Linked DNA regions of Ovis aries. The main gene of each other region encodes a partner of the protein of the gene in region 2 in a complex. Links are inferred from orthologs where the notes say so. Each region holds a gene or a part of one and is shown on either strand. Other genes may lie near its edges.

The links. Proteins that work in one complex are often made in the same cells at the same time.
Region 1: the proteins of OGT (region 2) and keratin, type II cytoskeletal 7 are in contact, whole or in part, in a crystal structure (PDB 4XIF), measured with the Homo sapiens proteins. The link is inferred for Ovis aries from reciprocal best matches to the Homo sapiens genes OGT and KRT7. Residues at the interface, in NP_858058.1 of Homo sapiens: His506, His508, His509, Asn567, His568, Pro569, Tyr642, Thr643, Lys644, Gln849, Phe878, Val905, Ala906, Pro907; in NP_005547.3 of Homo sapiens: Val9, Phe10, Thr11, Ser12, Arg13, Ser14, Ala15.

The regions. Positions count from the first base shown.
Region 1 is NC_056056.1:134,145,625-134,149,275, forward strand, and holds part of keratin, type II cytoskeletal 7, read right to left. Parts: intron 2,252-3,651; coding exon 2,191-2,251; intron 1,001-2,190; coding exon 905-1,000; intron 1-904.
Region 2 is NC_056080.1:64,228,723-64,232,373, reverse strand, and holds part of OGT (UDP-N-acetylglucosamine--peptide N-acetylglucosaminyltransferase 110 kDa subunit), read right to left. Parts: intron 2,489-3,651; coding exon 2,336-2,488; intron 453-2,335; coding exon 200-452; intron 1-199. UniProt on the Homo sapiens protein: Catalyzes the transfer of a single N-acetylglucosamine from UDP-GlcNAc to a serine or threonine residue in cytoplasmic and nuclear proteins resulting in their modification with a beta-linked N-acetylglucosamine (O-GlcNAc).

The DNA of each region.
Region 1 (3,651 bases), on a different chromosome or scaffold from region 2:
GATAAGAGATGGCATAGGAAGCTTTTTTTCAATTTTATCCTTTACTTAATTTTCTAGATTTTTTGCAATGAGTATGTACTTCATAACGAGAGGAAAATAATTACATATACGTGTATACACACACACACACACACACACATATAACATGTGATAGACATACAAAGACCCACAATGAGACTAGGAGGGCCCAAAATCAGCTTCAAGGATCCAGCCCCCGAAATTAACACACGTGGAAATTCTCTCAGAGATGCAAATGGAAGCTGGATGTTCAGGTAAAAGCGAGACTGAAGAGGAGTAAGAACTAGTCTGTAGTTCGCCTCTGGTGTAACTATGTCCCAGACCAGCCTGACGATCAACCATACTGTCTTCTGCCTAAGGCCAGAGCCTCACTCTAATGGGATGAAGTGGTTTTTGACCCCCTTCAGGGAAAGGATCTGGAAGCTCAGGGCAGGGCAGGAAAGGAGATGGGAGGGGCAGGCAGAGAGAGAGGCTGGGTGGTGGGCGTACATCCTCAGGCACTCCAGCCTCTCCTGACCTGGTTCCCCTGCCAGCCCACCCAGCGCACCCATGAACCCCTTCACAGCCCAGATCCCTCAACATCCTCCTGGTTTCTTCCAGCCCCTCCCAATCCCCCTTCCTTACAAATGGTCATCCCCTGTCTCTAGAAGGCCAATTTTGACTGACACACACCCCACCCCCCATTCTCACCCCCCTGCTACACTGCCTCAGCTCTTCCTGAGCTCCTCGCCCACCACCAATTCCTGAATCTAGAAAAGAGCAGGGTCATCTCCGCTACATGCACTCAACACACACCCAGACTGACCCAGAGGCAGAGGGCGGACCAGATGGCCCCCTGGCTAGGACAGGCAGGGTGTGGCATATTTCCCACCCCTGAGGTCTCCACCTGCTCATAGAGGGTCCTGAGGAAGTTGATCTCGTCATTCAGGCCATCCACCTTGGCCTCCAACTCCACCTTGTTCATGTAGGCAACATCCACGTCCTGGGAGGGGTGGTGGCAGAAGGGGTAGATGGATAGCGTGTTCTCAGTACATGAAACATTTGGCAGCCAGTACTCTCCAATCCCAGGACCAAACCCCACTGCCCTACCAAGAAACATGCAGCAGCTCCATGCTGCCTGACATATCCACAGCAGGAAGTTCCCTCCAGTGGACCCGCCCAGGCTTTGAGATGGACATTATCTCCACTCAGCCCCAGGACTGGAGGTGCCTTCTCAGCACTGACAGCCCAGAGCATTCTGAAGCCCCAAACCGAGCGCTTCACCAGTTCCTAAAGGCTTCAGTGGTTTAGACACACCGCCGGCTCTGCCCCCTAGTGGCTATGTCACCTTGAACAAATCATTATAACTTCATGAGCCTCAGCTTTTCATTAGTCAAATGGGAGAGCATGAAATCATGCAGACTCCAGGATACCACACCCAGAGATGAGAAATCTCCAGCCCAAATGTGTAACTGGCAACTTGGGTGATGCTGAAGCAGGCAGGCCACAGATAACACCACAAGTCCAGATGATGTCTGGGCACCATCCTCTGCTGTGGGTTCCTCCGGTGGGGAGCGCTCACTTCCACTCATCCCTGAATCTCCAAGGGCACAGCACTCCAGGGCAGGTTACATTTCTGTGGATGGGCCTGGGACACTGAGTAAGTGTACTTTAAAGCATAGTCTTAAGTCAAGCCCTTATTCCTAAGGTCTTCCAAACTCAACTTGCACACCTCCAGGTATAGGAAGGCTCACTCTGCCTCAAGGCAGCCCATTCATTCACTATTTCAGGCTGGCCATGTGCCACCCTCATCCGTAACTGAATGTTCTAACTGATAGAACACTTACTTATTGTGGGGTTGCAATTGCCCTCTCCAACCTCCAACTTGTCGTCTTAATTCTAATCTTTCCAAGCCCAGAAACAAGTCTACTGACTTGCCACACACACACACATGCACAAACACACACCACACGCACACACACACACCACACGCACACACACATACATGTACACGTTATAGCCTTATAAAGGGCCTGGCTTTCAAATCTTTCCTTCTCCAAGCCCATCATTTCCCTCTTATAGACCCACCAGACTCTGACCACAGGTCCCTATTGGTTGCTTTGGTGAGAGGCATGTGGTCCCCGGGCCCCTGTTTCTACAGTGTCCCCTACCCTCCCTGTATGCCCCCCTCACCTTCTTCAACACCACAAACTCATTCTCAGCAGCTGTGCGACGGTTAATTTCATCTTCATACCTGCAGCAAAGAAAGGAAGCATGGTGTTGGTGCAACTCTGCCTCTATCCCCTCATATCCAAGTGTGAAGGTCTGCCGTGCATCACCTTCACTCCCTCCTTAATGACATGGTAGCTCAGTTGGTAAAGAGTCTCCACAATGCAGGAGACCCTGGTTCGATTCCTGGGTCAGGAAGATCCAGTGGAGAAGGGGCAGACTACCCACTCCCGTATTCTTGGGCTTCCCTGGTGGCTCAGCTGGTAACGAATCCACCTGCAATGTGGGAGACCTGGGTTCAATCCCTGGGTTGGGAAGATCCCCTGGAGAGGGAAACGGCTACCCAATCCAGTGTTCTGGCCTGGAGAATTCCATGGACTGTATAGTCCATGGGGTGGCAAAGAGTTGGACACAACTGAGCGACTTTCACTTTCACTTATGATGCAAAATGTCCCTGACTCATCCATATGGCTATTCCTAGGACTTTGAGTCTTGGCAGGGGGTGGGGGTGGGGGAGCAGGGAACATATGTGAATTAAAGGACAGAGGCTGCATATCCAGGGAGTGAGAAGGCAGAGAACAGCCATGCTTATGGACCGCTTCATATGGCCCTGCCCCGTTACATGCTTCCTGCACATTCGCTAATTTAATGTCCACAACAATCCTGTTAACAATTGCTGTGACTCACAGGAAGAGGAACAGAGGCGCTGAGAGGCAAAGTACTCTGTGCAGTCATTAAGCTGCTAAGTGCAAAGCCCAGACTTGAAGCCTGGTCATCTGAGGCTTGAGCTTAACCTGCTTAATCCCATTGGCTGAGGGTGAAGAAGGGGCCTGAAGAGGAGGCACCTTGTGGACTCGGGAAGAAGAACCAGGTCCCAAGTAGGTGGGGAGCCCCCATCCCTACTCTCACAGCCCCCCTCCCATCCTTCTTTCTCTCAAGGAGCCAGCCCCTTGTCCATAGAAGGACACCAGCAAAGCCAGGCACAGAGCAAGAAGGCAGCTGGGCCTGGCCCAGTGTTTACTGGAGGATTCAAAATAGGTGTCGGAAACTGAGAACAACAGGAGCAATGTGGGGCAGCTTCAGTGGGGAGCAGGATGCTCGGGCAGGCAGAGGCCCTCCAGGAGCCCAGACCCCCAAAGTCCACTCCCCCACCCCATCCTCTAGAAAAGTTAGAAAAATATCTACAAGGCTGTCTGCCCATTCCTGCTGTGCCGCTGGGCCCAGAGGGCACACAGATGAGGGCTCCGGGGGCAGCCGCATCAGGACCCCTCCCGACATCCCCTTCCAGCTCCTCCTTCAGCCTGGTCCGGAGCTCAGCCTGGGGCCCCAGGAAAGCGCTCTGGAGCTTTGGCTGGGGGGAGCATGTGTGCACACCTGCAGGGCCGGGGAGGCCTGGACAACAGGGGCTCATAGGCTGTCCCAGGC
Region 2 (3,651 bases):
ACATTTGAGAATGCAAACAGCAGACAGTTATTAATGTTATTTATGTTTAAATATCCACACAATGCAGATGAGGCATGTTCAGACCTGAACAAGTCTCATTTTCTATCATTTTGCCCTAAATATTGCTTCTAGTACATATGATTTCACCTGGAAGTGTTTCTTCCAAGGAGATTTTTAAAAGAATAAGGAAACAACTCACCTGGCATAGTCACCATGGGTGTCCCTGCCCAGAGAACATCCATCCCTGTGGTGTGTCCATTACAAAGGGGAGTGTCTAGACAGACATCAGCCAGCTGGCCTCTCCGGACATGTTCCTCTTTAGGAGCAACAGGTGAAAAAATGATACGGTTCTGAGGAAGTCCCATATTTTGTGCATACTGTTGAATATTAGGTTCTCCTACTGCTGGAAAACGTAACAGCCACAGTACACTATTGGGAACACGCTTCAGAATCTAAAATAGGGAAAACAAGAACAAGTATTAATAGCTCTGCCCTTCTCAAGAAGGGCTCCCATAAATTTCTAGTAATTCTACCATATACCATACTCTATGCTACTCACCTAGAAAGCAGCTTACTGTGAACTTAAGTTTTTTTTTTTTTTTCACATAGATAAACTAGATCAACTGGGTTATAGTGTTCTGCTTAGCTGTCCCCAAACACAGTTCAAAGAAACAGGAGACTGATGTAAGAAGCACAAAACAAGTAACTAATTGGAAAAATCTGAGGCAGCTATGTCCTGTGGGAACTGATACTAGGAGTGGTTTTTGTCCACAAGATAGGAATTTTCCATTTCAGCTTTCAAATTCCCCAGCATGGTACAACAAACAAAGTTAGCTCACATTTGCCAAACTTTATTTGCCCAATCTAGATCAGGGGTCGGCAGATTTTTTTCTGTAAAGGACCAGACAGCAAATATTTTTGCTTTTGATGCCAGCATGGACTCTGTCATAACTATTCAATTCTGCCCTCGTCACTGGAAAGTAGCCACAGACAATATGTAAATTAGTAGGCATAGCTGTGTGTCAATAAAATTTTATTTACAAAAACAAGCAGTTGGGACTTTCCTGGCAGTCCAGTGGTTAAGACTGTGCTTCTACCACAGGGGGTGTGTGTTTGATCCCTGATTGGGGAACTAAAAGCTGGCATGCCTCACATTGTGACCAAAAACAAACCGAAAAACCAAACAAACAAAATAAGAACAAGCAGCGCACTGGATTTGGCCCACTGGCCACAATTTGTCAACCTGATTTAGATCCACATCTATTCAATTATGTTCACCATCCCTTCACTCAAAGTCATGAGAACAGACAGATTTCAGAATTTAGAGTATTTCAGATTTTTTAAAAGTAGTACATAAGTATAAATTACATAATGTGCTCAGCAGCAACTTCCTGTAAACAAACATATTAATATCTTTCCATCAAGATGTAGAATATTCATACTAAATGGAATAAAATAAAGAATCATAAATAGCTTAACATCATTTCAGGCAGTTTTGCTACCAAATAAATTACTGCAAACTTATGAACATGTTTTTGGTTTTCAGGTTTTTTGAAATGGGGAACTGAAAACGAAGGGATAGTAAACCTGAACTCATCTGCTTCCTCTTCTCCTCCACCCTCCCTCCTTCCAAAAAAAAAGAAAACACACCAAAAAACCCAGATATTGATCAGAAAAAAAGTCAACCAAGAATTATCTCCATTTTAGCTCTATGGAATAAAAACCAGGTATGGATAGCAAAGTTTAGAACCTTCAGAGGTCCTGCTTACACGAAGTAGTACAATGAAATGACTGATATAGGTAACGGCATAAACCAATTCCTTCCTAGTTTTAACTCTACAATATTGCAAGAATGCTACTAAACACGGATGAATATACATTAACAGCTTTACTATCAGCTTAGACCATGAGTTGGCAAATATAGCCTATGAGCCAAATCTGACATATCTCACGTATTGCCCGCTTTTGTAAATAAAAATTTATTGGAACATACCTACGTTCATTCATTTACATAAGTATGGTGTTTTCCTGTTACAACGGCAGAACTGAGTAGATATGACAGACAGTATGGACTGAGAAACCAAAAATATTTACCACTTGGCCTGAAGAAGTTTGCTTTTAAATACATCAATTTTAAAAGTCCATAATTTGATATTTAGACACATGAAAGAACATAAAAAACTGCCGAAACCTACAGCTCTTTTGAAAATTAGACATGAGCACAATAGTTCCTGAATGGGGGTGGGGGAGGGGCAGGCAGCCTCAGCAAGACGGCCTATATACAGAATCTTTTCTAGAATCTCTAGACATTAATAATGAATCTACACATACTCACATTTGCCCACATCTGCAAAGTAGAAGGGTCAATTTTATATAACTGATTAAAGTTACAGTACACAATGGCATCTTCTGGTAGCCCATACTGAGACCGTGTGGTTACAATAATGGTACGAGGAACCTCTTCTCCAGTGGCAGCCTTATTGTTGATCTACAGCAAGAAAAAGAATATGAATGACGATTATACTTAAAGTCAACATACTCCAATATTTTTCAATCAATAAAGAATCCTTATGATGCAAAGTGGTATAACCATTAAAAGTCATATAACTAAACTACAATGGGAAAATACTTGTGACGCATTAAGTTAAAGGAAAAAAGTTAGGGCACTATCTTAATTTGGGGTGGACTGCACTATGAAACATCTCACTCTAGCCAAAAAGTTCTCTTCAAAATCGTATAAGTCCAATAGCAAGCTTCTTCTCACTCTTTTTCTTCATGAATGAAATGTCCTTTTCTAAATCACATCCACCTTTCAGGACTAAACTTCAGTTACCAAACAATCTCTGTAAAAGCTCCTCGCCTCACCACTATTTCTGAGCATCTACATACATAATTATAGTCTTATCTTGCAATTCCCACACATCTGGGGACTACCTTACATTGTTATGTAACTATTCCAGGTGTGATGGACGTCTCATACAAATGGGCATTGTGTTCTACATTCAAAATTCTTTGCCCTTGTACACTTCAAGTATTACACTTTTTTTCCCTTAAGTCAAGCATGTCTGCCCTATTGTTTCAAAGGACGGTTAACCAGAAGGGGGGGAAAAACACATCAGTCTTTTCAACTCACCTGAATTCACTTCAAGCACCCTCTGTATAAATTGCTATACCACTAAAACTTTTAACTCCTAAGAGGCCAAAGATGCTTGCCTTATATCTCTTGACAGAGCTACACATTCACTTATTCAAGTACACAAGCAATATATATTTACTGAGCACATACTACATTACAGAGGCTAAGATACAGGCTCTAAAGTAATTCAATTCAGTGGCAAATACATTCAAACCCAGGACTTAGAATGTGTTGTGCTGGATGTAAAGATACATGCCAAATATTTCAGAAGCAGAGAATACAGGTACCAATGGAGCAGGGAAGGAGAGGTTACAGATATGGACAGAAACAGATTGTCGGAGGAGCTGTCTGAACTGACAGTCTTAAGAGATGAGTAAGATTTAACTGGGGAAAGGATGAATTATATAGAAGCAAGAAACTGTACGATGTCTACAGATATTTCACCATTGGTAACAGTAAAGCCACAGAGGCAGGGAATAACAAGGTATTAACACAGAAGACTCTCATTAAGTAAT